Nothobranchius furzeri: one gene and its partner. The protein of the gene in region 1 interacts with the protein of each later gene in a biochemical or structural test. Links are inferred from orthologs where the notes say so. Each region holds a gene or a part of one and is shown in the gene's direction. Other genes may lie near its edges. The genes, in order: nid1a and fibulin-1.

Region 1 (4,514 bases):
ACATGTTTATTTCTGCTGTGAAATTGGTATTTTTAACATGGGAGTCAATGAGGATTTGCTCGCTTCTGACACCAGCCCCTAGTGGATGAGGGTGGAACTGCAATTTTTTGTCACTTCCGCGTTGGACTCAATTTTTCACCCGAATTGTGGGGGCTTGGTTGTACAGCATCTTGGTGGCATGCTCATGCCTGTAAGGTGCTTTATAGATAAAGGCTGAGTGAGTGAGTGAGTGAGTGAGTGAGTGAGTGAGTGAGTCTGTGATAAGTGCTATATAAATAAAATGTATTTATTTACTTTAAAGAAGCCTGAGCGGGGGATGGGTGAGCGTAGCCAGCATCCCTGAAACGACTCATTCTGGAAGGGTCTGAAAATATCAAAAATCAAACTACTGAAATAGCTTAATGTGAGGGTGTTGAATGCCAAAAAAACTATAATAACTTAAGGAAAGACAGTCTACATTTGCCCTTTTTAAAGTGGCTGTCTGTGTTATTTATTTTATCTGATGGCTGATAACCGTATCACAACATCACCTAGTTTTCATTTCTGTATTTAGCAACATCTCTTGCTCATGAATGTGCTCCTCTAGCCAACAAAACAGAGCTAAAACACTTTGTTTTACAAATATTATGCTCATGTCATGTTGTGTATTCATATTTAAGACTTACTTGTCCATGAGAAAATCACCATCTCTGCACCAACCGAGGTACATCCAACGCTCGAGCATGCTCTGTGATTGACGTATGTGCATAAGCGGTAAAGCTACTGGCTGGTGCTGACTGACCCTCAGTTCAGTTTGCATGGAGCTCTATGGGACGGGGGTGGGCTTAGCAAAATGTCATTATTTTTCTTCAAACTTACAAGGAGCCACTTCAGAGGGGCCAAAGAGCCACATGTGGCTCCAGAGCTGCAGGCACCTGATCTACTGCAATAAGAAGAAAACGTTTAGACATAAAGTTTTGGATGAAAATTAAATAAAGAACAAAAGTTATGTTTTAACATCTGTTCCCTTGGATAGCACAATAACATTTATGGAACACGGAGGTGAAATAAGGTGCATGGAAATCTTTAACACTAAATTAGAAAGAACCTGGATGTTGATCTAAGCAAGGAGAAGCCAGAGTATGGATTTTGTTTTTGGACCCATTGGTTTCCTCTGTCCTGACATTGTGGCCCGAGACCCAAGTGTTGGATGGATGACTGATCATCCCCTACTGGGTCAGAAACTGCCTGGCCCTCGTTATCCCAGCTGGGGTTGAGTTTGATAGCTGCAGAGTAATTAATGCGTCTTTTACAGAATGTTTCTGGTCCATGATGCTCTGGTGGTCTTGGCTCTTCTCCAAAGCTGCTGTCACGGCTCCAGTATGTCCCCTCAGCGACCCAGCCTCTCCCAGGAGAGGGCGGTGTTGCGAAACACTGGATGGTCATTTTAGTCCTAAATTTTAATAAGTGAATTTTCAGGTTTAAATGAGATCTTCGGCCACGTACTAAAGCGAAGATTTTTAGCCCAGACGTCCCCCAGCGTGAAACCAAAATCCAGATGAAATGCTTTAGGAAAGTCTTACAGAGAGGATCTCCCCGCCCATGCATAAGACCCTCTCCATGAGCAGTTCCTCTCACTCCCTCTTAACCCCGTTCATCCAGAAGGAGAGCAACATGGGCTGGCAGAACCAAGGATGGCTCTTCTCTGCGAGTTTAGTGGTTTTTTGGGCCTCGGTGCGGAGCATACGGCGGGAGGAGTTTTTTCCCTTCGGCCCAAGCGCTGGAGACCAGTTACTGGAGTCCGGGGATGACCAGACATTCCGACTAACTCTCAGCAAGCCAGTGCTCTTCTATGATGGCTCGTTCGACAGCCTTTATGTAAGTCATTTAATTTGCTGCCGTATAAATAAAAAACCGTATAAAACGCGCGGGATTTTCTGGTGCGTCTGGGCTCCTTTTTGGTTATTTTTTTTTTTGCGTAATTGCGCACAAAGCAAACGGAGCGGGATAAGAAAGAAAAAGATAAACAATATAAGTCTAGTCTGTTGTATAGTCTCTGCTGATGTGCTGATTTAGTGGATTGTTTGTGTTGTCAAAATACAAAACAATCCTGATGTTTAATGTTTTTCCAAGGACGCAGAAGTTCTGGCCTTCATCTCATCGGAGGTCTTCACCATTAGTTGCTTGTAAAAGGAAATGAACCGTTATGCAGAACAAACAGGTCCTTCATTCCATGTGTTTCCAGTTTCCCTACATCTTTGTTTTAATTGTGCAGCATGTGGACAATGCGCATCAGCTATTTGTTTAATTCGAACTTTTATGTTAATTTTAAACATTTATTAGATTTCTCTATTTTTGAGCTTATTACATGGCTTTTCCCTTTTTTTCATCGACTTAAATATTTCAGATCAACAAACAAATGTGAAATATCAGTCAAAGATGAACCTGGTAAATTAAACATGCAGCTATTAAGTGATGATTTTATTTGGGGAAGTGTCCAAACCCCAGCCTGGTCTTGCCTCTCTTTTTAAATCATGATTTTACTGTAATTAATTACATTATTTGGAAAGATGCCACGCCCACATCTAACTACCAGACCTTAAAAAAAGAAGTCCAACCTGTCTGGCAGTATGTAGAAGGTTAAAAGATCTCAAAAAGCAACACATCATTGTGCCCTGTTCTAAAGCAAACCAAGAACAAAAGAACCCAGAACCACCTCACCAGCACTACAGTCCAGGGGCAAAATGGCAACTGTGGGAGAATTTCAAGACCAAAGGCTCTGACCAACATAAAGATCTGTCCCACATTTACCAAAACATAAAACATGTTAAAGGGGCAATATGTAAGAATGAAAAAAGAATGATGTCCTGTGGTCAAATTTGGGGACTGCAGGCCATTTTTCTAAGCCAATAGTTAAATATTGAACTCCCATCAGTTGTCACACACACTGGTGTGTGGTGAAATCTGTCCTCCATGTTTGACCCATCCCTGTGGGGGTGCAGTGAGCTGCAGACACGCCCATGCATGGGAACTATTTGGTGGATTAACCCCTTAAAGCTGTCCATCAAGCGAGGAGGGATTAGACGCAGGGGCGGATTTAGGACTGAAGAAGATCCGGGGCTTAACACACACACGCGCACACAAGCGCGCACACACACACACGTGACACGCACTAGTCAACATCATATATATATGTCTTGTACCACATAATTTTTAATCTGAAGCTACATATGAAGCATTTTCAGGGCAGAGTATTGTTCCTGTTAGTGTTTAGTGTGAGATGATAGTAAATATTCTCGTTCTTTCTCCAACATCTTTACCTGATAAGCTAACTTTAGGCAAACCAGCAGCACAACAAATATTTTCAAATTAGACTCACAAACCTGAGTCAGCACCAGTCTCATCAAAGCTGGGGTTCTGTCGCCGTACTTTTGGTCTAAAAACGTCCTTATGTCCATCTTCACTCATGCGTTTCAGACAGAGAGTGTAGAAGAAGCCGGCTGCTGAAGGGCTTCTTCTTCAGTGGTGGAGGCTCAGGCAGGCTGTATACAAACTACTGCCAGCTGCTCCCTCTCTGTTGGACTTTGGTACTGCATGTTACTTCCGCGATTTAGATCCGGGGCTTTTCATAAAACATCCAGGGCTTCAGCCCAAGTAGCCGGCGTAACACCGCCCCTGGTTAGATGATTGATTTAAAGTCTTTTGTATGACCCGACTGGGATTTGAACCCCAATAGTCCCTGCACAGACACTCATACCACTAGGCCACTGAGCTGGAGTTGCTTTCTCGCTACAGTTCCTTGGCTATGGCCAGTTACGGATCAGCAGTAAAAGATTCTAGATGAGAAGCGAAAACTCATATACTGTAAGGTGCAAAGTAGAGAAATACATTGTTCTATCTGGTGTTAGCACTCTTGGGTATTTTATGGTAGGGAGCGCTTACTAAACGTATTACGGTAATATGTCTAGATCGGCACAGACTTAGCAACCTCACAGGCTCACGGACTGTAAACAGGATCTACGTCCCTCTTTTGTTTTGTTGAAAGGAGAAAAATCAAGAACCACTCAGCTGAGAATGAAATCTGTTTGAATGTAACCTTCCTTCCACCATGACTGAAGCCTAATTTATACTTCTCCATCTGCGTTGGAACAGAGACACACAACGCCATTGTGCGTTGGTGCAAGAGCTCTCCGACGGGCTCGCAGAGGGTGATGGAGACATGCCCCAATTTTTAACTATAAGTGACGGAGACGTGAGCTTGTGTGCCTTCGCCCTGTCAAAAAATAAAAAGATAATTAGCGGCAGACACGGAACAGATTGAAGAACACATCTCGGGAAAAGTATGAAATACATATGAATGTTTATTCACCCGTGGCTGAAGGAGTACAAAGACATGCAGCAAGTGTTTTATTGGTGGACGGCAAACATCAGAAGCGTGAGTTTAGAGGTGCTGATTGCATTAAGAGGTGGAGGGGGAACACATCTGTTCGTGTTCAAAAGTCTCTGAAATAAACAATTTAGTAGATGTACTATCA
Region 2 (4,364 bases), on another chromosome or scaffold:
ATGCCCCCAGGCGACTTCTGAGGTTGGAAGTGCAGGATTGTACCTGGAGGAATACTTTGAGGAGCAGCTGAAGCTCATCTACCCAGACAGGGTGTTCCCCGGAGGGAGAGAGGAGCAGATGATCCCCCCTTTGGAGGAGGAAATTGAAGAAGAGGAGGAACAGACGGCAGAGGAAAGCACGGCTCACATTGAATGCAACAAACTTCAAAATCCTGCAGAAAAGGGGACTAAAGTGGACCCAGGCCCAACAGACGACAAGGAGCCGGACACAGACAAGACCGAGACGGGATCAAAGGAGACGAGTGAAGTTGTGGGTAGCCTAGAGGAAAGACGTTTTCCTTCTGAGGAGGAAAAGCAAAAAGAGAACACAAAGATGGAGCAGGCGGAACACCGGCCCTCTGCTGAGAATGACGCCGAAGATGGAAACGCTTCCAGCTCTTTAAAACAGGAGAGTCCTGAGCTCCTGACAGACAAAACCGCAGCTCCTCCTGACTGTCAGGATAAGTCAGCCCCTGAATAAATGAAGAAACTGAAGAAAAGATGGCCGATCAAAGTCTTCCGCAGACTTGGGTTTGCACGTAGATCGTGTCAGAATGAGACAGACTGTAGATGCACAACTAAAGGAGTAAATAACCTCCGTGTGATGACTGAAGCGCACAAACGTACCGCGTTCGTCTCGTTTAAGTTGCAAATGCTCCTCCTAACCTCATAGATCATAGGCTGAGTCTTCTTCAGGAGCTGCGGTGCATGAAACACGTCTCCGGAGATTTTAACACACCAAGTAGCCGTTATGTTGGGAAATCAGTTGTTTTTAATAGTATTTTCTTTGTATTTATAGTGTTAAATAGGACCATAAGTGCTGTAAATAATGATCAAATCAGAGGAGAAATGAGCTGCTTGGTTATTTGTCTCAACTTTGTGCTGCCAGTTGAAACTTTCCTGTCCCTCCTCCCCCCCAGTAATCACAACGAAGCCTTGTTTTCACCGCAGTACCAACAATCCTTGATTTACTCGCTATCAGTCTGAGATAAAGCAGAGACGTCATAATCGGCTCCCGTTGTACTGCTTGTGTCCTAAATGACTGCATCCTGATTAGATGCTGTTGGGAATTACACATGTTATAAAACAGCGTTACACCGCGGGTTTACGCACCACTTTACCCGACTTTACTGTATTTATAATAAACAGGGTTACACGTCACGTACGACTGTGTTGTCGGGGGTTACCAGCTGACTTTGATTGTTGCTGTGGGGAATTTCAAATAGTCGCAGGATGAAATTATAAAATAAAAAAGCCACAGAATAAGGCGACACTCTGAGCTGATAAATGTGTTTTATTTAATCTTCTAGGTCATTTTACTTATACTTCAACACTGCTGTGATTTTAAATAAATGCTCTTATCAGATTTGTTTTAATCATTAGAGCTCCCACCCCTAGCCTGACCGCCCTCCCCGGACCTCCCCGACGGACACGTCTGTGTCTCCTTCTCAAAATTTTCCACCGAGATGTTCTGTTTTCACTCCAGCCAGCATCAGAGAAGATCACCAACGTCTGGATCGTTCTCCTAAATCAGCCGGATGGCTCTCTGGGGTTTTGTTTTATTTTCTCTCTGCGGACTTCTGAACGGGCTTGGTAAGTGAGGACGTTGGACCTGCAAAGTTGTGTTCCACGAGGCTTTATTTGGGAATTGATTTCATTGATTTGATTGGTAGTTAAACTGCAGGCTGTATCTTATTTTGATTTAAAACACAAGCTCTGCTTCTTAACCCAATCTGTGATTATCGCACCAGAGAGCTCTGTTCAGGAGTGCTGTGAGGTTGGAAGGGCAATCGCACAGAGGGATCAAGACTGTTCCTTCCTTCCTCGTGTCACCTCACTCATCTGCAGGTGAGCAACGTCTCAACTTAATCTAAAGTTTTAGTTGTGCTGCGCTTAATCTAAATCTCAAAGTGCTCAGAGGTTTAAAAACAAGCCAGAATTAAATGTTGTGTCTGAAGTGAACCAAAGTTTGTCGTTTCACACAAACACAAGAAGAGATAGATCGATGAACTTTATTGTCCACCTCGAATTGAGGCAGAAATTCGCCTTTGACATGGCTCACCTTACAATACAATCCATATCGCGTTCACACAAATACATAAAAAGACATTTAAAAGGTATTAGAATGTTATCGTAGAAAAATAAAACTTTAAGAATTCTAAATTGTAATTGCGGTGGGAACAAACGATGTCTTATAGACACCTTTCTTGTCCAGTGGAACCCTGAACCTCCTTCCTGACGGAAGTAACTGAAAATGTGGGTTCAATGGAGGGGTTGAGTCTGCACTGATCAGGGTAGCCGTCCCGTGCGCTGCTCGCTCGTGAAGAACAGAAAGATGCAGCAAACCTCTCTGAGTAGAGGGTGGGATGTGTGGTTCCTGAGGGCAGGAATTCCTCAGGAATTCACACTTCTGAACTTCTCTATAAGGGAGGAGCAACTCAGTAGATGTAGGTGTTCAGACCCCCCCCCCCCCTAACCCCCCCCCCCCCCCCCCAAGGGGTTTAAACTGACAAAAACTTTTTTGTGGATCCTTTCCTTCGTTCCTAAACCATTCTCATTTCATCTATCTGTTATCTTTAGCGCTGACTCCTCATAGTATCGCAGGGAGCCGGTGTCTGTCTGCAGCAGTCATTTGGCATGGGGGTGGAGGCACCATGATCATGTCTCCAGTTCATCTCAGACACACACACACACACACACACACACCCTATAGGGACAATATAGAACAGGAGTTTCCAAACTTTTCAAGATAAGAGCCAACATCGTACAGCTTATATTTCTTTGCTTTATTTGTTTTTAAATACACAATGTAGTTTATTGTGATTTATTTATTTGCACTCCTCTAAAATGACGTCATATTAGTAAAACTCAGAATGAAAAAACATCAAAAAGTGTTGCTGTAGGTCAGGTGTGTCCAAACGGTGGTCTGAGGGCCATTTACAGTCTTCAGAGCGATTTTGTGTGGCCCCCAATTACATTTATGAATTTTGTCTCCATAGCAGACTGTTGATGGAGAGAGGCACTTTCTAACATCCTCAGATTTATACTAATGCAGGTAAAACTGGAAAAATTAGAATATGGGGCAAAAGTTTTTTTATTTCAACTTTGACTGAGAGACCATCTAAAGCAGGGGTGCCCAGTCCTGGTCTTGGACCGGTATACAGCATGTTTTAGTTTAACCCTGTTTCAGCTCACCTAATTTCAATCAGCAGGAGATTAACTTCTACAGAGCTTGATGAGCTGCTGCATGGATGATTCAACCACCGAATCAAGCGTGTTGGAGCAGAGAATCCACTAAAACATGCTGGATACCGGCCCTCCAGGACCAGGATTGGGCACCGCGGCTCTAAATGCTCAGGAACACTTTGCAGGTGTTCTGGATTCATTAGCTGATTAATGTGACATGTTGAGCCTAGAACATTGAGCCATAGGGTATTACAACCCCCCAAGGCACTTTACAGCACAACCATTCATCCATTCACACACTGGTTGTGTGTGTGCCACAGCTGCTCTGGGGCACACTGACAGAAGCGTGGCTGTCGAACACCGGTGCCATCGGTCCCTCTGACCACCACCAGCAGGCAGAGTGGGTCAAGTGTCTTGCCCAAGGTCACAACTGCGACAGACTGAGCGGGACTCGATCACACCACCTTCCGGTTATGAGACAGGCACTTAACTACTCTGCCACTGCCGTCCCCATTTAGCTGCACTGTTGTCTCTGAAAACTGAAACTTTTTAGCAGCTCTTCTCTGCTTTTATAGTAGCACGGTCTGTCCATGTTTGTTTGTTTGTGTTCCTTCCAGATCAAATAGAACACATATGTCAGACACATGGTCCGCAGGCCGCATCTGGCCTGCGGAGCATTTTAATGTGGCCCGCGAGATAAATATCAAAAATACATTAAAACTGACCCGCTGGCCGATTTTACCGCAAAGACTTCACTCCCATGATGCTTTGCGGTGTCAGCGCGGAGCCGACGCGCCCCCTCCTTTGTGTTTTTTCCAGCGTCTGCTGCCAGTGTCTGCAGCTCCGCTGTCTCGGACAAACTAAACACTCCTCTCACTCAGCGCCGAGTTCACTCAGCTGTTTTCTGACATTGAAGCCCAGAAACGGAGATTCTAGCCGCTCAGTAATGTGTTCACGACTGAAAGAGAAACTTTTCCAACTAACGTCCAGACAGAGCTGATATAACTCCAGCGAGCAGCGACACGCTCAAACCAGCACGGCTCTGTGGTTGCTGTCGTTGTGTTTCCTCCCCGACACACAACAACATGGTCAAGCTGCTCAGACATGTTCATCAGCAGAAACCTATGTGAGCACCTGTT

What was found.
Region 2: the proteins of nid1a (region 1) and fibulin-1 form a complex in vitro, tested with the Homo sapiens proteins (3 studies listed by BioGRID). The link is inferred for Nothobranchius furzeri from reciprocal best matches to the Homo sapiens genes NID1 and FBLN1.

The regions. Positions count from the first base shown.
Region 1 is NC_091752.1:2,240,187-2,244,700, reverse strand, and holds the start of nid1a (nidogen-1), read left to right. Parts: upstream 1-1,485; 5' UTR 1,486-1,581; coding exon 1,582-1,857; intron 1,858-4,514. UniProt on the Homo sapiens protein: Sulfated glycoprotein widely distributed in basement membranes and tightly associated with laminin. Also binds to collagen IV and perlecan. It probably has a role in cell-extracellular matrix interactions.
Region 2 is NC_091741.1:53,756,583-53,760,946, reverse strand, and holds the start of fibulin-1, read left to right. Parts: upstream 1-1,350; 5' UTR 1,351-1,577; coding exon 1,578-1,632; intron 1,633-1,790; coding exon 1,791-1,887; intron 1,888-4,364. Other genes in the region: trim24 (transcription intermediary factor 1-alpha), read left to right, coding at 11-520. UniProt on the Homo sapiens protein: Incorporated into fibronectin-containing matrix fibers. May play a role in cell adhesion and migration along protein fibers within the extracellular matrix (ECM).